Linked DNA regions of Sus scrofa. The protein of the gene in region 1 interacts with the protein of each later gene in a pairwise test. Links are inferred from orthologs where the notes say so. Each region holds a gene or a part of one and is shown on either strand. Other genes may lie near its edges.

The links.
Region 2: the proteins of GAPDH (region 1) and PRDX1 interact in a two-hybrid assay, tested with the Homo sapiens proteins (2 studies listed by BioGRID and IntAct, with this or other methods). The link is inferred for Sus scrofa from reciprocal best matches to the Homo sapiens genes GAPDH and PRDX1.

What each region holds. Positions count from the first base shown.
Region 1 is NC_010447.5:64,125,183-64,139,956, forward strand, and holds GAPDH (glyceraldehyde-3-phosphate dehydrogenase), read right to left. Parts: upstream 8,839-14,774; 5' UTR 8,757-8,838; intron 8,484-8,756; 5' UTR 8,466-8,483; coding exon 8,443-8,465; exon of another isoform or gene 8,350-8,442; coding exon of another isoform or gene 8,297-8,349; exon of another isoform or gene 6,669-8,296; coding exon 6,569-6,668; intron 6,490-6,568; coding exon 6,383-6,489; intron 6,262-6,382; coding exon 6,171-6,261; exon of another isoform or gene 6,045-6,170; coding exon 5,929-6,044; exon of another isoform or gene 5,846-5,928; coding exon 5,764-5,845; intron 5,555-5,763; coding exon 5,403-5,554; exon of another isoform or gene 5,316-5,402; coding exon 5,237-5,315; exon of another isoform or gene 5,154-5,236; coding exon 5,070-5,153; exon of another isoform or gene 4,986-5,069; coding exon 4,888-4,985; intron 4,771-4,887; coding exon 4,701-4,770; 3' UTR 4,498-4,700; downstream 1-4,497. Other genes in the region: IFFO1 (intermediate filament family orphan 1), read left to right, coding at 1,581-1,711, 2,907-3,012; NCAPD2 (condensin complex subunit 1), read right to left, coding at 11,567-11,652, 11,867-12,022, 12,120-12,246, 13,208-13,391, 13,528-13,608, 14,256-14,350, 14,433-14,610. UniProt on the Homo sapiens protein: Has both glyceraldehyde-3-phosphate dehydrogenase and nitrosylase activities, thereby playing a role in glycolysis and nuclear functions, respectively.
Region 2 is NC_010448.4:165,842,237-165,856,726, reverse strand, and holds the start of PRDX1 (peroxiredoxin-1), read right to left. Parts: upstream 9,338-14,490; 5' UTR 8,804-9,337; intron 8,735-8,803; exon of another isoform or gene 8,364-8,734; intron 7,138-8,363; 5' UTR 7,127-7,137; coding exon 7,021-7,126; intron 5,327-7,020; coding exon 5,173-5,326; intron 4,827-5,172; coding exon 4,704-4,826; intron 4,394-4,703; coding exon 4,263-4,393; intron 1-4,262. UniProt on the Homo sapiens protein: Thiol-specific peroxidase that catalyzes the reduction of hydrogen peroxide and organic hydroperoxides to water and alcohols, respectively.

The DNA.
Region 1 (14,774 bases):
TGCTTCCGGCCATCCAGATGGGGCAGCTGGGGTCCCCTTATCTCTGTGACCTTTATCTCTCGGGGTCCCTGGGAGGGAGGCAAGGACCATTTCCATTACTGGATGGTGGAGGCCCAGGCCCAGGGTGGAAGGTGGGAGGGAATTCTTTCTCCCCTCCCCTTCTTCCTCCACCTGCTCAGCCCACCCCTGCCTGCGTGGGGTCCTCAGTGTAGACAGTCGGGGTCCTCTCCCTCCCAGAGCCCTGCTCCGAACGTGTGCGCGAGGTGGGAACGTGCAGACGCGTGGAGACTGGCAGCGGTCCCAACCTTGTTTCCTGCTGGAATACGTTTCCTTCTTCCCCGCTTGCTGACGGATGGGCTCTAGAACCCAGCTCCTCCGCTTTATCGCCGGCTCTCCTGAGCGGCAGCACGTGGGGTTGAGGTGGACGGAGCTGGACTGACCGGTCAGCGCGTCCTGCCCCTCGGCTTGCTGCAGAACCCGGGCCGCAAGCCCAGCTCTGAAACCAAGGCTGCCGTTAGAACCGTGCTCATTAGGGCTTCCGACCCCGCGCCCGCCGCAGCCCCCACCCAAGCCACCATCTCACCACCCCCCGCGTCGCCGTCCTGACCATCTCTTTGTCTGGCCCTGTGACCATTTCCTTTTCTCTAAGTTCCCATCCTGTCTGTGCCCAGTTCAGATCTTTCACGGATGCTTTCCCGCCCTTTCTCTGTGCTCCCGGGCAGTCAGGCAAATCGCCCCCAACAGTTGTGTTCAGCCTCCCCCTCTGGCCCCTGTTCTTTGTGTCCAAACAAAGACAGGCAGGAGATTGTCTCCGGCCTGGATCTCTTCCCGCCTCTGCCTCGGAGCCTGTGGTGCAGAGTCAGGCTCGGGGAGGGAGGCTGCATTTCCTTGACTCCAGGCCCCGCACCTCTTCACCTGTAGCGGTTCTTGAATTGGGCTCCATCTCATAACCTGTCAGACGGTTGATGTGGCAGACAGTCCTTCTGTTAGCCTCTGAAACGGGCTTACAAGTGGGAGAAGAGAGGAGGAGGAGGGAGGAGGAGATGAGCGGTGAGAGAGGGGAGCCCCTGGCTGCTGAGCTCAGGGGGCCACTGGGCCACGAGTCCTGTAGCTGCTCTATGAGGTGAAGCCCCGAGTGCCTGTTGAGGTGCGGGGCGTGCAGATGCCGAGGCCCCGTGGCCGTGGCCGGCCCTGCCAGGGGCCCCCCGTCCAGGGAGTGAGGGACTGAACAGGCCACGTGGGGACCCAGGGAGGGGTGAGGCCTTCCACAGGGAGCCGCTCGTGAGCGCCAGGACATCCCTGTCCTTCGCACCCACCGTCCCTTCCTTTCCTCAGTGAGTCTGTTCCAAGGTGCCAGGCCTGGCTCAGATCCCTTAGCGAAAGCCCCTGCGGGCAGAGGTGCCTGGGGAAACGAGGAGCAGTGGTGAAGCGGTGCCTCCTGCCCTGAGCTGGTTTGGTTTTAAATCTGAGCCCTACCCCACGGCTGCCTGCACCCCTGCCCTGGGTGCCCTCGGCAGGTCAGCCTCCTGGGGGCGGGGGCTCTACTGACCCGGCGGCCCTGCCCCCAAACCCCACCACAGCTGGAGTTGGCCACGGCCAAGAACGACATGAACCGGCACCTGCACGAGTACATGGAGATGTGCAGCATGAAGCGGGGCCTGGACGTGCAGATGGAGACCTGCCGCCGGCTTATCACCCAGTCTGGGGACCGGTAAGCACACCCCCCCCCGCCCCGAGTGTGGGCCCCTCTCGGACGACGAGCCCTGAGACCCTCCAGCAGTGACTTAGGCACTTGTCACGAGGCTGCCCTTTGAAGGTTGCCTCGTTTGTCTGGCCCAGGCTGGCAGCTTTTACTCCCTCAGCAGTTGGATACTTAGGTCCACTCACGGCTGCGCAGCCCAAACCTCCCGATGCCGCCAAGGCTGGTGGTTCCCCCACTCAGAAAGGCAGTTCTCGCTGTGGCATGGTGGGTTAAGGACCTGGCATTGCCACAGCTGTGGCGTAGGTCACAGCTACGGCTCAGATTCGATCCCTGGCCCCAGAAACGTTCATGTGCTTCCGGTGCCACCCGCTGCCCCTGCACCCCTTAAGGGCAGCTAAGAAGTCCCCCGGTGGCTCGGTGGGTTAAAGATACGGTGTTGTCACTGCTGTGGCTCTGGTTACAGCTGTGGTGCAAGTTTGATCCCTGGCCCGGGAACTTCTGCATGCCATGAGTGCCACTGAAAAAAATAAGAAAAGCAGCTAAATTCTGACAAAGAGTGCAAGGGGGTGGGGGCAAAATTTTATCTAAAGTTAGAGCCACAATTTGTGCCTTTGACTCTGTGTAAGCTTTGAAAAAAATCGTAAAACTAGGAGTTCCTGCTGTGGTGCAGTGGGTTAGGAACCTGACTGCGGCGGCTCAGGGGGCTGCAGAGGTATGGGTTTGATCCCTGGCGGCACAGAGGGGTAAACGATCTGGTGTTGGCACAGGTGTGGCATGGTTCAGTCCCTGGCCTGGGAACTCCCATATGCTGCACTTGCAGCCATGAAATTAAAAATAAATAAATAAATAAATCACAAACCCGCTATAGATAAGCATGGAGTGGGGGCCACAGAGCCAGGGCACTCAGCCGGCCCCTCTTAACTGTGACTTCACATCTTTCTGAACTCAGCCTCTATTCAGCCTCTCCTGGTCCCCAAGTTAAAAGTGGGAACTGTTCCCCCCATCGGGGTGGAGTGGGCAAGGTTTCCTCTTCCCTCCCTGCCGGCCTTGCCCTGCATCCGCATCCGCCCTTGTCCTGTAGTCCTCCTGCCCCGCCTAAGATGTTATTCACCTGCCTGCCAGGAATAAGGCCAAGGGTGCAGGATGCCAGCTTGTCAGGATTCTTGCATGCCTGGAGGAGGTTACAACTGGTGTTTTTTTCTAGAAAGTCTCCTGCTTTCACTGCGGTCCCGCTTAGCGACCCGCCGCCACCGCCAAGCGAGGCTGAGGACTCCGATCGCGATGTCTCATCTGACAGCTCCATGAGATAGGGACCTCGCGCAGCGGGGCCCTGCTGGGACTCACCGAGCCTGGCCCCTGGGACCGGGCGCTCCCCCGGCTTCCTCCCCTGGTCCTCGGCCTCTCTAGGGTCCTGGGGTGCCTGGAGTGAGGCTCAGCCCGCCCTTCCCGGGCGACTCCCTGCACAGCCGGCTGTCCTCCTTCATGCGTGGGTGTCCGCTACTTTCCCATCTTTAAAATGCTGCCAGAGTGCTCGCGACCCTCACCCCGTCCTCTGAGTAAGGAGTGTGATTGTCGGCTCTTCCTTCCACCCCGGTGGTCTTGAGCCAGCGGACCGTCCTGATTCTGTTCTGGTGCTCACTGGCCCAGGTGCTGGTACGGCCTGAGCAGCGGGAGAGGGCGTCCCTCTGTGTCGCAGGGGCAGGGAACAGGACTGGGCGGCTCTCTGCCCATGGACAGTGGAGTGACGCGGCCATGACCCTTCCCTCGTGGAAGTGCCACGCGTCTAGGCGGCCTCTGGGGCCGATGGGGTGCAGTAGCATGAGGGGACAGGAGCTCCTGCAGTCTCCCAGTCACTGCCGAGGGACGGAGAAAGGTGCACGTGAGCGTGTGTGGGCGCATGTGTGCTCCTGTGCTCAGGGGTCTGTTTCTTCAAGCATCAGCCGAAGATGCGCCTCCTCCTCCTCCTCCTCCTCGTCTGACACACGCCGAGTGAGAAGGTGGCCCAGACTCAGAAAAGCTTGGAGAAAAATGGGGAGACGTGACTGAGGGTACCTCGGCCTTGCTGGCTGAGGCAGGCTGTGCTGAACTGACGTTTGAGTGGAATCTAATCCTAATGAAACTGGCGAGTATTTATTGAACGCTTTGGTGTCACTGTTTCCAGCAACTTTTCGGTGGTGGCTCTGGTCCCTGTTGTGTGGTGTGCACTGGTGATCATTGCACAGACACACAGGGTTACAAGCAACTTGCCCAAAGTAATGGCACCTCAAGTAGCAGAACCAGGGCCTCCATCCAGGTTGTCAGTGCTGTCTCTGCTTCTTCCCACTAAGCCTGTGCGCATTCGCAGGTGACAGAAGACATGGAAATAAAACCACCCCAACCTTTCCCTTGGGCTAACCTACTGTAACTTCTCTGAACAATCTCTGAGCTGGCACTGGCACAGCTGTACCACAGATGGCAATCTCTTGGGCACTGAGGCTCACAGCTGTGACAGGGCAGAGCTGGAATCCACTCCTGGCAGTCAGGCCGTAGCCAAATGGACTTCCTGTGCCAGTGCCCCCCTCCAGGGAGCTGCAGACAGAATGGTGTCTTGGGTGCAAGCAGCCAGGCCATTCCTGGGTTCAGCCACGGCAGTCTGGAGCTGTAGCACCCAGAGGCCTCACTAAGGCAACACGAGGACAGGTGGCTCTTCAGAGGAGCCCAGGGTGGAGTTTCCTCAGCAAGCTCTAGTTCTCCTTGGCCCCAGCCCGGCTTCCCTCCTCTTTATCCCAGGCTCTAGAGTGAGAACGACAGGAGGCTGGGTACAGTGTACTTTATTGATGGTACATGACGAGGCAGGTCTCCCTAAGCCCCTCCCCTTCTTCCGGGGGTCTGGGATGGAAACTGGAAGTCAGGAGATGCTCGGTGTGTTGGGGGATCGAGTTGGGGCTGTGACTCCCCAGCAGCTGAGGGCCTCTCTCCTCCTCGCGTGCTCTTGCTGGGGTTGGTGGTCCAGGGGCTCTTACTCCTTGGAGGCCATGTGGACCATGAGGTCCACCACCCTGTTGCTGTAGCCAAATTCATTGTCGTACCTGAAAGGAGAGCAAGAGTTAAGTGTGGTTTTCCCGAGCAGCCACCAGGGGGCACCAGACTTGATCACATTCTGAAGCATCATCCCTCCCCACCCGCCACATCCCCCAGCACCCTACCAGGAAATGAGCTTGACGAAGTGGTCGTTGAGGGCAATGCCAGCCCCAGCATCAAAAGTGGAAGAGTGAGTGTCACTGTTGAAGTCACAGGACACAACCTGGGGAAGGAAGAGGGCCAATTACGGAACCCAGTCTTGGTCAGTGGGGTCGTGTGGACACCAAGTTCCCTGACCTATCAGTACCTGGTCCTCAGTGTAGCCCAGGATGCCCTTGAGGGGGCCCTCGGACGCCTGCTTCACCACCTTCTTGATGTCATCATATTTTGCCTGATGAGGTAAAAACCGATGGTTATTCAAGTACCAATCCTACAACCCCTCAGCCCCCCAAAGCTGTTCCAACCCAAACCTACAGGTTTCTCCAGGCGGCAGGTCAGATCCACAACCGACACGTTGGGGGTGGGGACACGGAAGGCCATGCCAGTGAGCTTCCTGGGGACACGAGGAAGCAAGCAGAGTCAGCACCACCCCTGCTGGTGCCCCAGACACCCAGGGCAGGAGAGCAGCAAAGAGCCTCACCCGTTGAGCTCAGGGATGACCTTGCCCACAGCCTTGGCAGCGCCGGTAGAAGCAGGGATGATGTTCTGGGCAGCCCCTCGGCCATCACGCCACAGCTTCCCAGACGGGCCATCCACAGTCTTCTGGGTGGCAGTGATGGCATGGACCGTGGTCTGGAGACAAGGAGGGGGAGTGAAGGCCCTGCCTAGCGCTTGTGACGCCTCCTCTGGGAAGAACTAAGGGACACAGTGCTTGGAACCACCCCACCCTACCCCTCCTCTGATGTCCTGAGCCCCTACAGCTCCGGGCTGAGCTCTGGGAGGGGAAGGATCCAGTCCTGGGTGAGGACAGAACGTGCTCTGGCTCAGTCCCCATCACCTACCATGAGTCCCTCCACGATGCCGAAGTGGTCATGGATGACCTTGGCCAGGGGTGCCAAGCAGTTGGTGGTGCAGGAGGCATTGCTGAAACGAGGGAGGCAAGTCAACGGGCAGGTCCACGGGGTCCCGCGCAGCATGACCCCCCCCGCCCCCTCCACCAAGCTCACCTGACGATCTTGAGGGAGTTGTCATACTTCTCATGGTTCACGCCCATCACAAACATGGGGGCATCGGCAGAAGGGGCAGAGATGATGACCCTCTTGGCCCCACCCTTCAAGTGAGCCTGCAGCAGAGGAGCAGTCAGACACCCGGGCTTCCCCTTTCCTGGTCCAAGTCAGCCTCCCCCAGTCTCCCCGCTACACCAACCCCGCGGTTAGGTCCCCTCCTCTTTCGGTTCCCTGCCGCTCACCCCGGCCTTCTCCATGGTCGTGAAGACACCAGTGGACTCCACAACATACGTAGCACCAGCATCACCCCATTTGATGTTGGCGGGATCTCGCCTAGAAGGGAAGACAGGACAAAGTTCAGGGGCGCGGGGGACCACAGACCCAAGGTGGTCACCCCGTCCCAGCACCACCTCCTCCAAGGCAAAGCTCTTCCGGTTCCGTCTTCCATACTTACTCCTGGAAGATGGTGATGGCCTTTCCATTGATGACAAGCTTCCCGTTCTCCGCCTTGACTGTGCCGTGGAACTTGCCGTGGGTGGAATCATACTGGAACATGTAGACCTGGGGGGGACGAGGGAGGGCATCAAGGGGCTGCGCCCTGGCAGGCTCTGTCCCCGCCCCCGCCACGGGGGCCACTCACCATGTAGTGGAGGTCAATGAAGGGGTCATTGATGGCGACAATGTCCACTTTGCCAGAGTTAAAAGCAGCCCTGGTGACCAGGCGCCCGATGCGGCCAAATCTGAGGGGGACAAGAGGCGAGGAGGGAGGAGTGAGCTCTCCTGGAGATGTAAGCAGTCCCAGGCCCACGCGCCCGCTGTCAGCGCGGGCACTTTCCTACCAGGAGATCTCATTTCCTCCTCCTCGCACAACCCTGCCAGACCAGCCTGGCTTCCCAGCACAGCCACAAAGTGAAAAGCTCCCATCCTGCCCAAGAGGTGATGAAGCTCCGAGACAGGCCCACACCCCCTGGTCATCTGAAATCTGTTAAGGGGTGACAGGGTGGTGCACTGCTGCTGCCACCTACAGTCTGGGCACATGGCCGGCACATGGCATTCCTCAGGCCCACTGTCGGTAAATGCTTGTTCCTATCTGGCCAGCTTCAGGCCACACCCTCTAGGGAGCAAAATCTTGCACACTTGGCATCACCCAGCTCAAAGGGCAAGAGCAAAGGTCAGAAGTTAACTGGCCAGGGAAACCCCCCCCCTTCCCCAAGTCCCTCCTACAAAAGGGAAAGCCGTTTCTCAAACCCAGAATCCCGGGCTTCTGATTTGTTAGGAACCTGTCTTTGTTAGCTCTTTTCCCAAAATCAGGAGTGGGAGCAATAGACGTGTGGGGAGCGGGGGGGAAGGAGAGGGAGAAGCCCAGGCCCCCAGCTGCAGAAAGGTCAGGCAGCTATATTTAACCCCAGCTTAGGGTGGAGTGGGGATCTGGTTTCTGGAAGAGGGGATGGGGAGAAGGGCAGGATTCCCGAGGCTCACGGACATCTAATCCTCCTGGTGACCTTTACAGCTTGGCCTTTAGGGTGGGGTCAACCCTAGGCATGGATGGAAGGAAGCAGCTTCAAGGAGCACTGATGCAGAGACAGGGGCTGCGGCTCCGCCGGCTCCGGGAGCCATTTTGTGGAAAATTTCTAAGTACCCATGACTCAGCTCCCCCGGCATGGCACCAAGCCAACGCTACCACACCTCTCCGGAGAAAGAGAAGGGAAACAACCCGGAAACAACCCAAGACCACCCCCATAAAGCCCCGTTTTTGATTCATCAGAGAACCATCCAGAAAAAGCATCCCCTCATCCCCGGGGGGGGGAATCTGGCTGGGGCTTGAAGGGATGCTCTAGGGTTAGTTTGCTAAGAGCTGAGGTCCAGCTGACTAAGAAGGGGAAAGCGTGGCCGGACCTGGGTTACCGGATAAAGGAGACTCCACCCCACGAGGCAGGGGTAGAAGGCTTAGTCATGGGCAAGTAAGGAGAAAGATTGAAGGACTCAGGAAGATTTCCTAACGGCGGTTCATTCATTTCCTTCCTAGTTGCAACATGGCGGCTAGGTTACCGCAGATGCCCCCTCCCAGCTGGTTCTGCACAGCAGCTGTGCCTCCTGCATCCCGGGGCTGCCCGGCTGGGGGCACTGGTTGCGGCTGGGGGGATGGGCTCCTCCCCTTCACGTGACCCCGCAGGGCGCGAAAGGAAAGAAAGAGCCCCAGCTGGGGGATTAGGGGATGGGGCCAAAGCAAGAATTGGAGACTCCAGGGCTGTGTATCTGCGGCAGGTGAAGAGGAAGGCTCCGCAGAGGCGGAGTTACAGAACGCGCAACAGCCAGGGATGGGGGACACGAGGCCTTGCGAGGGCCTCCTCCAGGTCCGAGCGCTGACCTTGAGTTCTCCTTGGGGGTGGGGTACGACCACCCCATCCAAGTCCCCCACATGCTTGCACAGACCCGGTAGGGCGAGACCTGCGGACGCAATTTGGTGGGGGCTGCAGTACTTACTGCCCCACCCTGCCCCACCCCCTAACTCACCCGTTCACTCCGACCTTCACCATCGTGTCTCAGGGACGCGGCTGCCGGCAGAGGAAAGAGAACATTAGATCGCGGGGCAAAGCGGCTGGAGCCCGACGGTGCCCTCCCCGCCCCTCCCCCAGGCCTCCATCCTCGCTCTGCTCTTCTGCACGTCCTTCCTCCCCCTCAACCCGCAATGCAGGGGCCCGGCCCGGCGCAGCCACAACTCCGGCTCCAGCCGGGGCCCCGCACCCACACTCCCAGACCGCGCACGGCCCCCGGTCCCTTTCGGACCAGTCCTCGAACCCTTGTGGCTCCACTCCGCCAGGCTTTACCTGGCAATGCACGGAACACACGGCTGTCTGTCGAACGGGGAGGAGCAGAGAGCGCAGGGGAAGGCTGCAGCCGGAATTTATAGGGCAGGGGGCGGGGCGGGGGCGGGGTGACGTGGGCTCGCCTCGCCCAGTCCTAGCTCCAGCAGCGGAGGCCTGAGCTACGTGCGCCCGTAAAGTCGCGAGTAGCCGACCCCCACTTCTTCTTTTTTTTTCCTTTGGACCCGCCTGGTTCTGCCAATGTGCACGCGCCACACAAGTGGGCTGAGGACGGAGAGGGGGAGGGGACCGGTGATGCTGCCTGGCCCGGTTGGGGTTGTACTGCAGGGGGCAGTGGACTAGGAGGAGGGGGCCCTGGCGAAAACTGAGGACACCCAAGGAGCCAGGGACGTTAAAGTTGCTGCAGGGATGTAACGGGAGGATATGGGGAGCCAGTGGGATGGGAAATTGGAGCGGAACCCGGGGTTGGGGGCGCGGCTCGCAGCTCGCGGCTGCAGTCTCCCCTACCCCCCCCCCTTCAAAAGCTGAGAAGCGGGAAGATTGAGGAACTTCTCGAGGCTCTTCGGTAGTGACCCAGGAACTACAGAGGAAAAGGCCCGGGAGGGGCCTCCAGCAAGGCCCTCTCCAGCCCCCTTCCCCTTTCCCCCCTCCCCTTCTCTTGGCTCCTGGCCTCCCCGGGCTGGGGACCGCGGCTGGCCCTGGCCAGTGGGAGGCCTGGAGAGGAAGGAGGCTCGGAAGGAGGCCTGAGAGGGAAGTTTCTGCACTGAAGGTCACGATGCCCTGCAGGACAGGCAGCCTGGACATCTGAGAATCGAGCAGACAAACCAGGACCTGTGTGCACCAGCTGCTCTCCCCCAGGCCCTGGCTGGCTGGGGCCTCAGCGAGGGGACAGGATCGCTTTGGGGGGCTGGCCAGGTAGAGGCTCAGAGGTCTCCCACAAAGTTGCTCCTGGGAAATTTGAGGGCTGAGCGGCCCGGGCTGGGAGACAATGTCCCTTTCACCCCATCCAGCCCTGGGCAGAGCAGGACGTGAGAGCGGAAGTCCCTCCCCATCCTGGGACGTGCAGGCCAGCCCTGCAGTCAGGGCCTCCCTTTCACTGGCTGCGCCCAGGGGATGTTGGGGGCAGGGTGAGGTGTCCATAAGAGGGAAAAGATTGGGAGGTCTTGGACACAGGGTGGGGACAAGGGCCCCTAGCCCCTTCCCAGACGTGATGTGGAGGAGGAAATCCATTCTTCTCCAAGACCAGTCCCTCAGAAGCTGGGGCTGGGCCAGGTTTGTGAGCAGAGGATGAAAGATGGGTTGGTTCTGAGGACTTGAAGTGTTGAAGGTTCAGGGAAGGTGGGGGGAGGGTGGAATGGACGTTGCCCATTAGCAGGTGCTGGTGGAAGGAATTGGGGCCTCTTTGCTGGCCCAGCGTAACCTGAGACCAGCCCCCTTTTCCAGCTGAAAAGCCTGTGGCTAAGTTTAGCCCGCAGGATGATAACCTTTGCTTAAAAGGCAGAGAGCACGCTGCCCCGCACCCCGACTCAAGCCTGTCCTGTCCCTTCCCTTTCTGGGACTGCCCTCCTTCCTTGGGGCCCCAGATCCAAGGCTGGCTGTTGCTGGCAGCCATGTGCACAGTCGGTGCCCAGGCTTTTCAAGAGCGGCAAGAGCAGGGACTGAGGGCACTTAACGGTGAGGGAGGCGGGATGCTGGGCACTGAGGAATCTGCTGGGGAAGTGGAGCACCAGGATCATATACTCTCCCTGGCAAGGGCCTTAGGAGCCCCTCCACCCTCCTCTGCTCCCCGAAGCATGTTCCCCTTTGCTGCATGCTTGTCATTGTTCATTACTGTCCTTTGCTGAAAAAAGAGGGAGCTCAGTGCCCAGGGAGCATGACTGACGCAGTCTGCTGTTGTCATGACAGCAAAGACACCAGTGTTGTCATGACAGCAGCCTCACTGCCTCCGCTTCAGGTGACTCAGCAGAGAAATCTTGGGGGGCAGGAGGGGGTGAACAGGGCCTGCAGCTGAGGGGCTGACATCCTGCAGACCCTGTAAACGTGGTGCCAAATCCCTGGGGGATGGTCTCTACACTGTCTAGAGCTGGAATTAGGGGCACAAGCCAGGGTGGGCAGGACAGAGCAGCCAGCCCCTGGGGAGGAGGGTTTCTCAACTTCAGCACTCCTGACATTTTGCATTGATGACTCTTTGCATCAGACCCGTCCTGTGCATTGTAGGATATTTAGCAACACCCCTGGCTCCTACTCATTAGCTGCTGTTAGCACCCTCTCCTTGGCTGTGACAACAAAATAGTCTCTGGATATTGTCAAATGTCCCTTGGAGGGCAACACTGCCCCCAGATTGAGAAGCGTGGATCTGAAGCCTAGGCACTGCCTAATTCTGCACAGCGGAGCAATCCTGCCACGTGTGCAGGGTGTGGAGGTTGAGAGGCAAGGACGGGCCAGCAAGGGACTCGAAGCTCATCAGATGCTGGCACAGGCCCCAGACTCCTGGATCAATAACCCTCTGTCTGCTGCCTGCCTCTGGGCTAATGTGGGATGAAACACAGACAGGCTTAGGAAAAACCTCTAAAAGTATATAAAAATATTTATTCATTAGAAAACAAAGAAACTGGCAAACACACATTCTGGAAAACAACTTGACTTGGTTCAGTTAGGCTTAGTTTAGCAAAGCCTAACATTATAAAGACCATTTACACATTAAAAAAAACCAAGGAGACAGGTAAACACGTATTTTACAAGGGGAATGGAATTCAGGGTCACTCCACAAGACACCTGCAGGGCTGGCTGGGATGGGAACAGGTAGGACACCTCTAGGATCTTTGTCTGTGAGCAGATGCTCGGCGGATGGGGGTGGTTTTCTTGGGTGTCTCATCTTCCATCATCTCTGCTGACAGTTCTATTCAAAAGAATTGGGGGAATGAGACAAAGCTGAGTCACAAAGATGGTGAAAAACGGGTCTTAAGAGAACGAATGGGACAGTCCCTGACCACACTGCCCAGTGGGGGGAGGACAACGTGGGGGTGGGGGACTATGTGGCAGGCCTGCCATCAAAGCAGGCCTCCCTGCAAGCTGTGCTCGCTCTGGGCCAGGTCCAGAAAGGGGCACCGTACCCTCCTCGCTGGACTCGTCGCTCGAAAAGACAATTCTGAGCTTCTTTTTCGAAACTTGCTGCTGGGTGTTTGGATGCCGACGGGTAGTACGGCGGGGCTCAGGTGTGACAAAGTCATCGTCTGAAGCTGCAGAGGCCAGATGCCGGTGTCTAGAGACTAGAAAAGGCAGAGGCATGAGTTGGAAAAAGAAAAAAGGAACTTCTATCAGCGAGGAGGCCCCGCCTGGTCTCTCCCAAGGCACTGCCTCACATACCAGCAGGTAGTTTCTTGGCTGATGGGGCTCTCTGGCTGCCTCCTTGGCCCATCTCAAATTCCTCTATTGCATCCAAACCTCTGGTGTGACAGGCCCGAAGCTTCTGCTCAAATTCATCTATTACAGCCTGGAGGAAAAAAAGATTAAAAGTAGGCCTGGAAATAGTTATTTCTTTTTTTTTTTATCTTTTTGCCATTTTCTTGGGCCGCTCTCGCGGCATATGGAGGTTCCCAGGCTAGGGGTCGAATCGGAGCTGTAGCCACCGGCCTACGCCAGAGCCACAGCAACGCGGGATCTGAGCCACGTCTGCAACCTATATACCACAGCTCACGGCAACGCCGGATCCTTAACCCACTGAGCAAGGGCAGGGATCGAACCCGAAACCTCATGGTTCCTAGTTGGATTCGTTAACCACTGAGCCACGACGGGAACTCCAGGAAATAGTTATTTCTAAGATTAAAAAGAAACAAGGCAGTGATAAGATGTGGAGGAACTTTAAATCTGTATTACTAAGTGAAAGAACCCAACTGAGCAGGGTACACGCTGTGATTCCAATGCTGTGACATCCTGCGAAAGCCAACGCTGTGGTGACAGGAAAAGGATCAGTGGCTGCCAGGGCTGTAGGAAGAGGGCTGAACGGGGAGCAGAGGGCGCTGGGGCAGGGGGACTACTCTGAACGAAACACACAGCACTGGGCACAAGCTATTCATCCAAACCCATAGCGCGCACCCCAGGAGTGAACTGTCCTGGAAACCGTGCTCTTTGGGCGCTGTGACATGTCGAGGCAGGCTCACCCACTGTACCATAGGTCTGGCTCTGGCCTCTGGCGGGGGTGTGGGTAACTGAGGAGGCTGTGCCTGCGTGGGAGCATGGGGCCTTTGGAGAAACTATACCTTCTACTTGATTTTGCTTTGAACCTGAAATTGCCCTTAATAAAGTCACCAAAAAAAAAAAAAAAAAAAAAAAAAAAAAAGGAACAAAGAAACAGGAACTGGAAAAAGATCCCAGCTCAGGTCATTCTGGTTACTTGGTTGCAACCAGCTGGGTTTCCTCAGAACAGCGGCTGGAATGCAGCAGGCGCCACTCACCTTGCCCTCCGGCTTGGCTCCACGTCGCAACTTGCCTACAACTGACAAAAAGGCACTAAAGATGGACTCGTCTGATAGTTTATCTCCAAAGCAATCAAAGTTGTCCAGCATCTTACGGAGGCCCCGCTCTGTGAGGGGCAGCTGCGACACGCAGTAGGCCAGGTCCCGGTACTGCCTCTCAGTTCTGCGGGTGGGAGGGCGTGGTGAGGAGCAGGGGGATGGAGGGCAGGCCCATGCCTGCCCCGCAGTCCCTCCCAGCCCAGATGCCACCGTGCGCTCTTTTCCTCTGGGCACAGAGAACCCTCCAGGAGGCAGCATACCGGGCTGTGCGGAACCGCTGACAGAGCTTTTCCACCAGGCTCTCGGTCTGCTTGTCCTTGGTGATGTAGGAGAGGAGCTGCCTGCAGGAGGGGAGATACCAACGGGCTGTCTCCAGGGGCGGCTCCGAGCCCAGCCCCAGGCCCGGCCCAGCCTCTGTCATCCTCCTGCCTCAGCAGCCGACTCTTCCCTGCCCTGGCCCGTCCCTGGCCTCTCCTGTCCCTCAGGGAGGGGTCCTTGCCACCCTCCTGAGCAATTTTCACTGTGACTGGAACTTTAGGACAAAAGCAGCGATCCTCTAGTACTAGTATGTGCTTACCCCCATTAGGAACTTTCATCTTTTTTTTTTTTTTGTCTTTTGTCTTTTTAGGGCCGCACCCACGGCATATGGAGGTTCCCAGGATAGGGGTCGAATTGGAGCTACAGCTGCTGGCCTACACCACAGCTCACAGCAATGCCAGATCCTTAACCTGCTGAGTGAGGCCAGGTATCGAACCCATAGCCTCATGGAGGAACTTTCATCTTACTGAATCTTCTTAAGGACTAATAAGGGGCAAGCATTTAGGGGCTCGTTCTATACAGGAGGAACAGGCACAGAGAGGCTGTCACTGCTAGAGTCCACACGGCTACAGAGACACAGAGCCGCAGAGCCAGAATTCACACACAGGTTTGTCTGAGTCCTAAGCCTGCGCTACATGGAAAACGTGTCCCAAGGCCCAGGGAAGCGTACTTCATGATGGTGTGGAAAGGCTCTTCCTCCACCCCTCCCTCGGGAGCCGACAGGCGGCTGATGATATCTGGAAGGAGGTTATAGATGGCGTTGCCCTGTAAGACAGACAGTCACGTCACAGAGAGGAGACCTGCGTGTTCCCTTGGCAGCACACCTGAGGCTGCTCCCACCTCTTACCTTGTGGGAAAGCTCATTAAAGAAGTTCTTGGCCAGGGCAGCGATCTGAGGAGCGGGGTCGATGAGCAGCACGGCCATCTCGCTCACCTGCCCCTTCACCTTCACCATATCCTTCAGGATCAGGTGGGTCATCACCAGCCCGGCTGTTTTACGCACTTGCTGGGCCGGGTCCCGGAGGCTAGGAATGAGATCTCAAGTCAGTGGGACCAAGACCATGGGCTACACCCTGACGCTGCCCTGGAGGCCCTCAGCAGGAATCTATGGCCTCTTTGTGTTTGGCTGCACCTGTGAGATGTGAAGTTCCCAGGCCATGGATGGAACCCGCACCACCGCAGCAACCCG
Region 2 (14,490 bases), on another chromosome or scaffold:
CTGGAGTGCTGGTATGGAGTGGGCATTGCCACAGCTGTGGCACGCGTCACAACTGCAGCTCGGAGCTGATCCATGGTCTGGAAACTCCATATACCACAAGGCAGCCAAAAAAAAAAAAAAAAAAAAAAAGGCAGGAACATAGAATATACAAGTACCAGGTCACACCCGAAACTAGTATGATGTTTTTCTGACCATACCTTCGGCATGTAGAGTTCCCGAGCCAGGGATCAAACGAGTCACAGCAGTGACAATAACCTGCTAGGACGCCAGGGAACTCCTAATATAATGCTATATGTAAATTATATCTCGACCTTATTTTTTTGTGTTTTGTCTTTTTAGAGCCGCACCCAAGGCATACGGAAGTTCCCAGGCCAGGGGTCCAATCGGAGCAGTTGCTGCCAGCCTACGCCACAGCACCACCAGATGTGAACTGCATCTACGACCTATACGACCTATACCCCGGCTCACGGCAACGCCGGATCCTTAACTCTCATGGTTCCTAATTGGATTTGTTTCCACTGTGCCACGATGGGAACTCCGTTATCTCAACTTTAAAAATAGCAATGTAGGAGTCCCTATTGGCTCAGCAAGTTTAAATCCAGCTAGTATTCATGAAGATACCAGTTCGATCCCTGGCCTAGCTCGGTGAGTTATAGATTCACCGTTGATGTGACCTGTGGTATAGGTCACGGACATGGCTCAGATCGGTGTTGCTGTGGCAAAGGCCAGCAGCTGCAGCTCTGATTCTATCCCTAGCCTGGAAACTTCCATATGTCTCAGGCATGGCCCTAAAAAGCAAATAATAAAATAAGGGAGTTCCCGTAGTGGCTCAGCAGTTAACGAACCCAACTAGTATCCATGAGGACATGGGTTCAATCCCTGGCCCTGCTCAGAGGTGGTTAAGGATCCAGCGTTGCCATTAGCTGTGGTGTAGGTTACAGATGCAGCTCAGATCCAGAGTTGCTGTGGCGTAGACCAGCAGCCACAGCCCTGATTAGACCCCTAGCCTGGAAACCTCCATATGCTGCGGGTACAGCCCTAAAAAAAGACAAAAAAGACAAAAAGAAAAAAAGAGTCTAGCCTACATATGCAAGCTCCTAGAAACGTCCATAAGGACCAACTGCCACTCCCAGCTCTATCTTTGTGCTAAATCTCATTCCCCACCAGGGGGCAGGCTCAGCAGCTGTCCCTTCAGTGCAGAGTTAAACACACACATGCTTCTGCAAATGGTGCCTTCAGACCAGTGCTGATTCCCATTATCTATGAACCTTCCATTCTAGCCAAACTAGTACTTTTGGGTCCCGCAAAAAAACACCACTAGTCCAGACTCTTAACTTTCACCTCCTTTAACTCACAAGATCAGAGCTGAAACAAGCCTCATTTAGAGCTATTACGAACTACTTATCTTCTAAAAAAAATGAGCTGTAGGAGTCCTCATCGTGGCTCAGTGTCATCAAACGCAACTAGTATCCATGAGGACCCAGGTTTAATCCCTGGGCTTGTTCAGCAGGTTAAGGATCTGGCGTTGCCATGAGCTGTGGTGTAGGTCACAGACTTGGCTCATATCCCTCGTTGCTGTGGCTTTGGTGTAGGCCAGCAACTATAGCTCTGATTCGACCCCTAGCCTGAGAACTTCTATATGCCACAGGTGTGGCCCTAAAACGACAAAAAATAAATAAACAATAAGATGTACTGAGACAGAAATTTGTATAAGTCATTCTGTGTACTTGGTGTCAGTAGCACTTACAAAACTATCTTATCCTCAATTACATTAATCTGGGGTGGGGGTAGGGTTCAAGATCCCCTTCTACAGACCCAGTATTGGCAGCACTCTGAGGAGATGCGTTCTTAAATCTAAACTCTTAGTTAGGATAAGGCTGTCTCATTCCAGCAGCAAATACACTGGGCGGAGGTGGGGAAATACCAAAAGCCACAGCCTTGGGAGTTCCTATTGTAGCTCAGCGGTAATAAACCCAATCAGTATCCATGAGGATGCAGATTCAATCCCTGGCCTCACTCAGTGGGTTAAGGATCCAGCATTGCTGTGGTTGTGATGGAGGCCAGCAGTTGTAGCTCCGATTCATCTCCTAGCCTGGGAACTTCCATATGCCACAGGTGGGGCCATAAAAACCAAAAAAAGAAAAAAAAGCCACATCCTTACAAATTCAAAGGATGGGATCAAGTGCTTCAAGACTTTATGAAAACAAAGGGAGTTCCCATCATTGCACAGCGGAAACGAAGCCAACTAGGAACCGAGAGGTTGCAGGTTCGATCCCTGGCCTCACTCAGTGGGTCAAAGATCACAGCGTTGCCGTGAGCTGTGGTGTATGTACATGGCAGACACGGCTCGGATTCTGTGTTTCTGTGGCTCTGGTGTAAGCCGGCAGCTGTAGCTCCAATTAAACCCCTAGTCTGGGAACCTCCACATGCCACGGGTGCAGCTCTAAAAAGCAAAAAAAAAAACAAAAAAAAAACTTTGTGAAAACATGGTAATGATACTATATAAGAAAAGAGCTCAGAGTTCCCATCATGGCTCAGTGGTTAACGAATCCGACTAGTAACCATGAGATTGTGGGTTTGATCCCTGGCCTTGCTCAGTGGGTTGAAGATCCGGCGTTGCCCTGAGCTGTGGTGAAGGTTGCAGACGCGGCTCAGATCTGGCGTTGCTGTCTGTGGCTGTGGTATAGGCTGGCAGCTGTAGCTCTGATTTGACCCCTAGCCTGGGAACCTCCATATGCCTCAGGAGCGACCCTAAGGCAAAAAGCCAAAAAAAGAACAAAAAAAAGAAAAGAGCTAGAGCAGTGAAAAGGAGGACCTACACTCTAGCAATGCTACATTAAAAAAAAAAAACAAATTGAATCTGCTCAGTCACAGATTTTACAAGGACAGACTCACAAAAACATTATCTTTGGGGAGATTTTTTTTTATATTTAGGTTTTTGGAGGATTTTTTATTGGGTTTTTGGTTTTTTTTTAGGGGAGCACCTGTGGCATGCTTTAGTTCCCAGACTAGGGGTCAAATCGCAGCAGCAGCTACCAGCCTACACCATAACAACAGCAACGAAGGATCTGGGCCACATCTTTGACCTACACCACAGCTCATGGCAATGCTGGATCCTTATCCCACTGAGCAAGACCAGGGATCAAACCCACATCCTCATGGATACTGATCAGGTTCTTAACACACTGAGCCATGTTGGGAACTCCCATTTTTCTTGGTCTTGGTCTTTGCTTTTTGCCAGGCCATGCGGCAACTTGATGTGAGGACAACCAGAGCTACAGCACTGAAAACGCCAAGTCGTAACCACTAGACCATGAGAGAACTCCCACAAAAACATTCTTTGATCCTGAAACAATGAAGAATCTTGATATTTCACTTCAAACTCCCTAGCCCTAACTCCTCCTTTAAAATAACTTTTATATTAAACATTTATATAATTTGGTATTTGGTGACTACAATTCTTACAAATAGGGCAACCACATCACACCACAGAATGGATTCTTTAGAAGATAGAAAGTATTAATTGTTATCTGCCTATTGTCTTCGGTTAAGTTATCTTAGTCCAATTTTTATTTCCCAAATCTCAAAACTTGTTTAAAACCCTAATAAAACAAGTATCATCTAAAGAATATGGTCTTCTCCCAATAAACGACTGTCAAGAACAGCCCACTTCTCTAGATGGGAGTCTCGATCTTTTTTGGTTGTGCCCTTATACACCTAGGAGATGCTCCTACATTCCTTTAACAAGTTGACTCAGCAGCAGTGAGCGATTCTAAATGAGCAGGGCAGGAGCTGGGAATACGCAGCTGAAACAAAAAGCCTTTACAGTCTCCTCCCCAAGCCTTTCCACTACCCCACCACACCCACCCACAGTAATCCAAAGACTGCAAATGCCCTTTTTTTGTTGTTCTTTGCCTTTTCCAAGGCCACTCCCGCGGCATATGGAGGTTCCCAGGCTATAGCCACCAGCCTATGCCAGAGCCACAGCAACACAGGATCCGAGCCGCGTCTGCGACCTACACCACAGCTCACGGCAATGCCGGATCCTTAACCCACTGAGCAAGGCCAGGGATCGAACCTGCAGCCTCATGATTCCTAGTCAGATTCGTTAACTGCTAAGCCATGACATGACAGGAACTCCCCATAAAGACTGCAATTTCTTAAAGAGACATAAAAATTCTTTTCTTATCTGGTAGACTTTGTTCCTTCCATTCTCCCCACCCCACCATTCTGCTGTCCTATTAGCAGGCGACCTGGCTTACCTTCCCCATGTTTATCAGTGAACTGGAAGGCCTGAACTAGTCTCAGAGTCTCATCCACGGAGCGGCCAACAGGAAGGTCATTTATGGTGATCTGTCGAAGAATACCTTTATCGTCAATGATAAAAAGGCCCCTAGAGAGAAAACAGTCAAGGTATGAGGGAGACGGCAGTTTTAGAATCGGCTCTGTTAGAGCAGAGCAGAAACTGAAATGGGGTGGTCTCTGGCACTTACATGGGCCTTCCTTCCCCTTAGGCCCTCAGGCCTAAAGAATGAAATGAGACCATGAACGATCAGTGATGTACGTCAATTCCCTCCACAAAACAGGAAAAAAATGAAATCAGAATTCTCTACAGATCAGGGCTCTACCTTTCCAATAAAAACCTTGAGCCAATCAGATGACTCTCTTGCTGACTGTCAGTCAGCTCCCGCGCAGGTTTTTACCTGAATGAGATGCCTTCGTCGGCCTTCAAGACCCCGTAGTCCTGCGCAATGGTGCGCTTGGGGTCTGATATCAAGGGAATGTTCATGGGTCCCAGTCCTCCTTGCTTCTTGGGGGTGTTGATCCTACAAGCAAAAAAATCAATCACATTCATTCAAATTCTTCTGTAGCAAAAGCATTAACTGTATTTATTCCTTCCCATTTCCAACCTTCCTAATCTAACTCCCCAAACGCTGCATGCTTTTCCCAGCAAAGTAAACAGCTAAGGACAATTAAAGTCACCAGGGTACATGCAGTCTCAACCCAAGCTGCCAGGTAATAAGAGAACAACAAGAGGAAGTCAAAACACCTTTGCACTCCTTCCATGAGGAGCCAGAGGCCAATACTTGAGAAAGTCTATTGCCAAAGCTGCCCAGTCCCGGTCACTGCTCAGTTCAAAAGTCCACGTGCCAAATGGACCAAGAGATTTACCAGGCCAGATGACAGAAGTGAGAATCCACAGAAGCACCAATCACTTGGCAGTTGAGTTTCTTAAATTCTTCTGCCCTCTCACTGAAAGCAATGATCTCCGTGGGGCACACAAAGGTGAAGTCAAGTGGGTAAAAGAAGAACACCACGTATTTTCCTGGGAAAAAAAAAGGAGCCACAAATTAGCCTTCGAAACAGACTTCTTGCTTCATAGACAATGAAAACCTAAAGACATTTTATTTTTGTGTGTGTGTGTGTCTTTTCTAGGACCGCTCCTGCAGCATATGGAGGTTCCCAGGCTAGGGAGCCAATCGGAGCTGTAGCAGCCGGACTACACCACAGCCACAGCCACACAAGATCTAAGCCGCGTCTGTGACCTACACCACAGCTCACGGCAATGCCACATCCTTAACCCAGGGATCGAACCCGAAACCTCATGGTTCCTAGTCAGATTCATTAACCACTGAGCCACGACGGGAACTCCCAAGAAGCCTTTTTAAGTTGATTTCCTACGCGGCTCAGTGATAACCAGACTAGTAACCGTGAGGATGTGGGCTCCACCCCTGGCCTCGCTCAGTGGGTTGTTAAGAATCCGGCATTGCCATCAGCAGTGGTGTAGGTCCCAGACCCGGCTTGGATCTGGCATTGCTGTGGCTGTGGCGTAGGCCAGTGGCTATAACTCCGACTGGACCCCTAGCCTGGGAACCTCCATATGCCACAGATGTAGCCCTAAAAAAAAAAGAAAAAAAAAAATTTCTCCTAGTAGGTAACAGGATTTCTAGCTGGAATTTTACTAAAGTTACTCTACCAACCTGCCAGGCAGCCTCTCACCACACCTAATGGGCTGAGCTGTTTGGAACAATTTCAAATATTCACTTATTTCCAAATAGCATCAATGCTTGAAAATCATAACTAGCTGTTCCTTTTTGAACTTCACTTTGAAAGCTAACACCATTCATCTAAACAAACTTCTCCAGGGCTCTGCCTAACAAGCTTCAGCAGGTCAAGCCCTGGCGGGCAAAGAGGAGCTCTTCCAAAACCTCATGGCTTTACCCTTGGGCCTGGGTCACCTCCCTAAGGTGCTACTTACTTTGTTTGCCAGGAGAAGCCTCCCTCCATAGGGCCCCACTGACCTGCTCGTGTTCCAACCCCTATGTGAGATGTGCTAAGAAATCTAGTCATAAGATCTACCCAAAAGCTAACTCTAGGAACTGACTGCTATACCACTACAAAAGGTATACTTGACACCTGAGTTTCAGATTTGCATTCCAAGGAATCTATATTTTCAATTGTCTCAGAAGGCCCTGCTGCTCCAGGATTGCAAGGTTTAAAAAAAAAAAAAAAAAAAGGCCTCATGAGAATGCCAGGTGTCTACAATAAACTATAACAGAAAGGAGCTGTTCCAACTGTGACATCAACTCTTTTCTGAGGGCAAAGTAGTCAAAGGAATGTGCCTAAGCTCTCTGCCTAATAATACAGCAATTGTGACACATGCATTTCACAAACTGAACAGGCAGACTCATAGTTGCCACTATTTGAGCACTGAGATTTTAAATTGTTGAAGGCATCTTACAACAAGATAAAGAGACTGAAAAGCAGTACCAGGAAGATAATCAAGATAATATGTCCAGACATAATGAAGCGGTTGGGACTCAGGACATCTACCCTCTGACCACTGAGGATAAGGACCACTTCAACTCCACAGGAGACAACAGCCTCCTACCCCCGAAGACCTAAGAGACTTTAAAAATCACTTTACAATCAAACATGACAAGAAATTCAGAAGTTAAACAAGCCATCTCTAGACTGTATTATAATTCCATATATTGAAGCGAAGAGAATTACTTTTACCTTTGTAGTCAGATAGGCTGATATCTTTGAACTGACCATCTGGCATAACAGCAGTTGCTTTGAAGTGGGGGGCACGGTGCCCAATTTTGGCATTTCCTGAAGACATATTGCTATCAGCTGGAAAAGATAAAAAAGCAAATTAGAAACAAGCCTTTCTTTCTAGATAACCAGCAACCTTCATCTCCGTAGAGACTTAACTGTAGAACAATAAAGGAATTGTCCAGTGGTCCTGAATATACATTAACCTTTAGAACGCTAAGAAGCATGAGGCAAGCTTTCCAACTTTTCAAACAAAAACATTACAGATCTCTGAATCTCAGCTCATTTTCATTTGAAAATAGCAATTTCTTTGTAAACTGAAGTTAAACTCTTGTTTTTTTCTGAACCATCACTTGTCCAATTGCATGTTCTTCTGTATTTTCATTAGACAGGTGCACAGAGAGAAGGAGGTGGAAACTCCCAAACCTAGACCCAAATGCACAATGCCATGAACACTCCGTGAACACTGAGCACCCGACTCTGAGAAGCTGCCATGTTACCCTTTTCTCTAGCCTGAGCCTTTGGAACACGGGAAGCACACTTAACCTTTTCCCGGTAGATGTGCACACACAGCACACACCCTAAAGCCAATTCAACTTCTGAGCGGCAAGACCAGGAGTCTGGCATGTGCTCAATTTCAAAACTTTAAGTGTTGTGTTTAAGGCCCAAAAGTCCTTTCAAAAATGGGTTTCTGACCTTGGGACTAAGATCCCGGGGCAATAACAAGTAGAACAAGAGTCAATTTCTTATGAAAAAGCAATGCTGCATTGGATTCACCCAGGTCAAGGCCAAGATAAGACGTCAAGATTTAACCCCATAAGCCATCGATTTGAAAGACCCAAAGAACTAATTTTTCAAGTCCCAAAGTTCTTGGTTCATAAAACCACAACCAAAAGAAACGTTGTGAGCATCGACTGTCAAACTTTTTTACTGGGTTAGCACCTTTAAATAATAAAACAAACAAGAAAAAACAACCAGTAAGACACGAAGCAACTTGGCAACCAAACATAGTATATGACCCTAACACTAACGGCCTTCTGGTCCAGACCTGCTTTTCCGGGTGCCCCCACGTCCACTAAAGCACAACCAATGGGGGGGGGGGGGAAAGGCTGCAGGACTTCCAGCCGACGAGGTCCCCTCAGGAAAGCTCCCCTTGAAGTTCCCCGGAGAAAACTACGGCCCCCCCCCCCGAAAGGCCAATTCAAGTGGTTTCCTGCCACCCCCATCGTCCCTCCGCTGCACTTCGGAAGCACCAGGAGTCTTCACTAACGGCATTTAGAATCACCACAAACCCCATTCTGCACATGGAAAAAGATGGAGAAGGGAATCAGGACCCACGGCTACACTGGTGAGCAGGCACAGCCTCTTCCCCTCCTACACGACGGACGGGCAGTCTGTTTCTGACCAGTTTCTGAATCCGTCTTAGAAGCTTCGGGAACCCGTCCGCCCCGTAGGGGACCCCGTCACCACCCACCCGCCCCGACGGCCCCGCCAAGCCAATCAGCGCCCTCTGCTTGAGTTGCCGGGGGAAGAGGGGACGCAGGGCGCGGGCGGCGTCGGGGTTCAACCAGGCAGCTGTCCCGCAGGCAAAGGGGGTCCCATGTGAGGCTCCCTCTCCGGCAGAGCGTCCCCCCAGTTAAGCCGGGCGGGCCGGGAGGAAGAGAAGGAAGAGGAGGAAAAGGCAACGAGAGAGGAGTGGGGCGCTGCGGTCGGTCGGCTGAAGCCGCGCCGCCCACAAACTCACCAGTCCTCAAGCAGAAGCCACCGAGCGCAGCCAGGAAGCAGACACGCGAAGCACGCGCGGGGCGCTGCCTTTATAGCCCGTGAGGCTCTCGCGAGAGTCAGGGCGGGCCGGGGGTGCGGGCGGGGGAGACGGAAGGGGGATCTGGCCCCAGCACCGCCCCGACCCAACTCGCCCCGCCGGGATGACTCAGCGCTTTCCTTCCCTGGGGGCGGGCTCGGGTGGAGACAGTACCAATCCCCTCCTCGCCTTCGAGGGTTGAGGTGTCCGCGGAAGGCACCTTTTAGATCAATCACTTTCCTTCCCGATGCCTCCGTGAATCCAAGATTTGAGGCGGGGCGGGGGTGGGGGAGTCCGTGCGCCTTGCCCTTCAAGCCCAAACCTGGGTAAAGGTCCTCACTGCTGCCCACGGAAGACCCCCCCCCATCGGGCCGGAGAAAGATCTATCCAAATATTTCTCAGATATTCCGCCCAGATTCCCACAACCTCTGCTCTAGTGCTGATCTCAGTAACCCAGATTGCTTAGACAGCCTCCCTTAATTGCTCTGTCTGACAGCAGGATGGCTGCTTTTCCATCTCCCTCTATGGGTTCCTACCTCTGCCTTCCCTTCCCATCCATTCCACTGCAGCTGGAGGGACTCTGAAATCTGACCATATTACTCACGCCTCTAATTTGTGGTTCCGAAAAACTGATCCTGTATTCTTGAGTTAAAACTCCTCACTGTCATTCTGTGTGACCTTCATGCAAGAGTCTTAATCTGTTAGCCTTACTCTTCTCCCCTGTAAAAATGGGAATGCACCACGAGTGTGGCCAAAAAGAAAAAATAAAAACAAGTAAATCCTTAAAAAAAAAAAGAAAGGGAATGCTATTAACTCTTTGTTGAGATCATCTCTGTAGTTTATTTAGCACAGTACCTAGTTCTTTGCTCCTCTTTGTAACACCCAGAACAGAGTGTAGCTGTTTCACGCCTTCAGGCTCTTGCTCAAGCACAAAGAACCTGTTCCTATTTGGCCTAGAGAAAACGTATCTGAAGATAGCTGAAGCACTACTTCCTCTGGAACTCTTCTTTCACTCATCCCCAGAATTAACCATTCCCCTTCATGCCCAAACGATAACAACAACAAAAACCTTTTAGGTCATGGCTCAGTGGTTAACGATTCCGACTAGGAACCATGAAGTTGCAGGTTCAATCCCTGGCCTTGCTCAGTGGGTTAAGGATCCCGCGTTGCCATGAGCTGTGGTGTAGGTTGCAGATGCGGCTCGGATCCCGCGTTGCTGTGGCTCTGGCATAGGCCTGTGGCTACAGCTCCAATTCGACCTCTAGCCTGGGAACCTCCATATGCCGAGGGAGTGGTCCTAGAAAAGGCAAAAAGACAAAAACAAAAACAAACAAACAAAAAAACCCACAAACCTTTAAAGCTAATTTACTTGTTTATGTGTTTACCTCTCCTTATTAGACTGACTTTCTGGAGGGTAGGGTTTGTTACATCCACCTCTGATTCCTCAAGTCACAACATAACAGCTGATATAAAATAGGAATGTTAAAAAAAAAAAAAAAAAAGGAATGTTTAAGAAATAATATTGTGTTCCCCTTTCTGCCCCCATCCCCCATTATTCTCCTAACTCCATTGGACCTTTATAGCAGGATAAGAAAGAGGGAAGTGCTGTGTCATGCTGGCTGGGCATCTCAATATTTGGAGGTATTTATCATCCTGCCATCAACAGAAGTGATTTTTTGTTTTTTCTTTCTCTGAGGCAGAACTGTTACTTGGGCATTATTCATTTCCTTTTTTTTTTCTTTTTTTTTTTTTTAATTGCTGTGGCCAAGGCTTTAGGGCTTTCTGGGGCCAGGGTTCTGCCTGTACCACAGCAGTGACCCGAGCTGCTGAGTGACAACACCAGATCCTTAACCCACTGCACCATAGGGAACTCATTTCCTTTTTTTTTTTTTTCCCTTTACATGTCCTTTTTTAATTTATTATCTTGAGTGTCATTATTGGCTCCCATTAGAAATTGTATTCACTGGTCTATGACTGATCCCAGGTGTCAAAACCAGCAGATATTGGATGTCCACAGGAAATCTGTAAAGCAATCATAGTATTCAGCTCATTTTATTTATTTATATATATATATATATATATTTTTTTTTTTTTTTTGGTCTTGTTTCGCCATTTCTTGGGCCACTCCGGCAGCATATGGAGGTTCCCAGGCTAGGGGTCGAATCAGAGATGTAGCTGCCGGCCTACACCACAGCTCATGGCAACGCCGGATCCTTAACCCACTGAGCAAGGGCAGGGATTGAACCCAAGACCTCATGGTTCCTAGCTGGATTCGTTAACCACTGCGCCACGACGGGAACGCCTCAGCTCATTTTAGAAGCAGGAAAGGGTCATAGGAACGTGCTGTACATGTGTATTCTGACTGCTCTGTGATTACCACAATCCAACCTGGATTTTTTTTTTTAATAGTTATTTCCCCAATACAATTTTTTCCTACTGTACAGCATGGTGGCCCAATTACTCATTTCCTTCTTGAGGAGGCAGGGAGACCTAGAGGGTGAGAGCTTAATAGTGGATGGTTATTATTATGGGTAGGTTAAACCAACAACACATAGTCCTACTTCAGCCAAAAGAAAATTTCCATTTATTGTATCTACCATGCGCCAGGCCCTGGGCTGGGCGCTTAGGCTTACATGTCTCAGTTAAGAACCACAAGAGTGGAGGGAGTTCCCATTGTGGCTCAGTGGAAGCAAATCTGACTAGTATCCATGAGGACGGAGGTTCAATCCCTGGCATTGCTCAGTGGGTTAAGGATCCAGCGTTGCCATGAGCTGTGGTGTAAGTCACAGGCGCAGCTTGGATCTGGCGTGGCTGTGGCTGTGGCTATGGCATAGGCTGATGGCTACAGCTCTGATTAGACCCATAGCCTGGGAACCTCCATATGCTGCAGGTGCGCCCCTAAAAAGCAGAAAGAAAGAAAGGGAAAGAAGAAAGGAAGGAAGGGAGGGGGAGGGCAAGAAGGAAAGAAAGAAAAGAAAGAAAAAGAAAGAAAAGGAAGAGAGGGAGGGAGAGAAGAAGGAATACGCAAGATGCGTTTCCTTCAGCAATACCCTTGGCACTGTGTGGTCCTGATACTACTGCATACCGTAGTCCATCGCCTCCTGAGTCCTGCATCCCTACACTTGCCAGCACCTTGTGATGGTGCCTTAATTCTCCCACTGCCTTTCTCTGTTCAGTCGAGCAGGAAACTTTCGTTCGTACAATGTCCTTCGACACCATCCGACCCTCACGTAGCTTAAAGCAGTAGTTGCATCACTGCACTGATTTGCTGTGGTAAACACTGTTGACAGACTGACCTACCAGCCATCGCCCCCTTCTTCATAACTAACTAGAAGCAACAGGTGAGGGCAATTCAGTAAGCGTAGAAAGCAGATGTCCTAGAATGGTGATCATTTTACAGCAAGGACTTACTAACCTAAGAGCAGCCTGTCATGAGAAAAATTATAAACCATTCAAGTGAAACCTATGAACCATTCACGTTAAACCTACAAACTAGTAAAGCTAAAGGCTTTAATGTGACGAACAACAAAGGCAATCATGGAAATAAAATCCCAGGGCAGCTCTCAGCTATGGTGATGAGGACACCCAGTTGATGCAAATTAGGCTTATGCTAATTTTTGTAATTATTGTTGAAAGAAAACCACTACATTTAACAGCTCTTGAAGAACGCTTGAATCCTTTAGTTTACAAGCATTCAATTTGTAAAATTATATTTGGAACACGCAAAGACCTGCAGATACCAATTTGAGAACCATTGCTATCCAGAATAATATGTTTGCTAGCATTGAACACGGCTTAAGTAACAGATTAAACTCAGAGAGCAAGCTCAAATAGGAGATTAATTTTTGCCATTTCACAGTTAAGCAGTTGAAGGCTGTTATCACGAACCCAGACTTACACTTTTCTCTTCTCAAACCCCTAGCATGCAGCTTTTATTCTTACACAATGTTACAAAATGTCTGCTCTACATCCAAATGCATCCATATATTCCAGGCAGGGAGAAGGAAAAAGGCAGCCACAAGTGTGGGGGGGACTCTAAAGAGGAGGCCGAGCAGTCCCAGAATCCCTCAGGTTGCAAAGCATTTACTCAAGTGTGTCACGTGGCTGCTTCTAATCCCGAAGGGAGGCTGGAAATTGTGTCTATCAGCTGAGATTCTGTTAGGAGAAAAGGAAGAAAGGATATGCTGTTAGACAGGCAAGGGATCTTGATAAATTTGAAAGGAGAGACAGGATTCCTGACTGTGGCCTATAAACATATGGAAATGCTAGGAAAAAAAAAGAATCTGAGTTGTTATTTTTTTTTCCCTACCCTTACTAGAGGTGGTAATTTGTTTTATTAAATTGCCTTCTATTTATTTGATCTATTTATTTGGGGGGCTGCATCTGTGGCATGCAGAAATTCCTGGGCCAGGGATTGAACCCATGCCAAGGCAGTGACAACACTGGATCCTTAACCCGCTATGCCACAAGGGAACTCCTTGCCTTTATTTATTTATTTATTTATTTATTGTCTTTTCTAGGGCCACACCCACAGCATATGGAGGTTCCCAGGCTAGGGGTCTAATCAGAGCTATAGCCGCCAGCCTACACCAGAGCCACAGCAACACGAGATCCGAGCCATGTCTGCAACCTACACTACAGCTCATGGCAACGCCGGATCCTTAACCCACTGAGCAAGGCCAGGGATCAAACCCAAAACCCCATGGTTCCTAGTCGGATTCATTAACCACTGAGCCACAACAGGTACTCCCCCTTGCCTTTATTTATAATAAAGCCCTCTGTGTGGCACATCTTCAGAGGGTAATATTCACGTTATATTCTATGTGAATCGTGCCCCTGGAATTGGGGAACACAGTCACGCTATTTCTAATAATGCTTAAGGTATTGCAGACCTTTCATAAAGTGATATGTAACTTTAATTGGTTACTTATACAATTAAATATTTACATATGAACTGTTACTTGCTCAAAAAAATATAGAACCCTAGCCCTTCAGAATTGGAAGAAACCCCTGTTAACTAATTTAACAATTAAGTTCCCACTAGGTACTATGTACTACCCTAGGCTCCTCCATGCCCTGCACTGACCATGGAGCTTCACATCCAACCTTCCACCCATTACAAGAATTCTTTCATCAGGAGTTCCCACTGTGGCACCACTGAAACGAATCCAACTAATGTCCATGAGGATGTGGGTTCTATCCCTGGCCTTGCTTAGTGGGTTAAGGATCCAATGTTGCCGTGAGCTGTGGTGTAGGTTGCAGACGCAGCTCAGATCCTGCGTTGCTGTGGCTGTGGCGTAGGCTGGCAGCTGCAGCTCCAATTCAACTCCTAGCCTGGGAACTTCCACATGCCACGGGTGTGGCTCTAAAAAGCAGAAGAGAAAAAATTCCTCCATCGATAGGCCTAACAGTTCCCGGGCCTTGGCTTGAACACCTCAGTGATAGCACCTTTCTGCCTGGGTTACCTTCCTCCAGGTGTTGGTGTCCTTGCTCTCTGTGACCCCCAGAAGTGGGCAGTGATTCAGCTGTGGAGGACTCTGTAGAACACAGGGGAACCGTCTCCTGTCTTTGTCTCCCCATCAAGTTCTGCAGTAGTTTGGGACACAAAAATAGATAACTGAGATCCCATG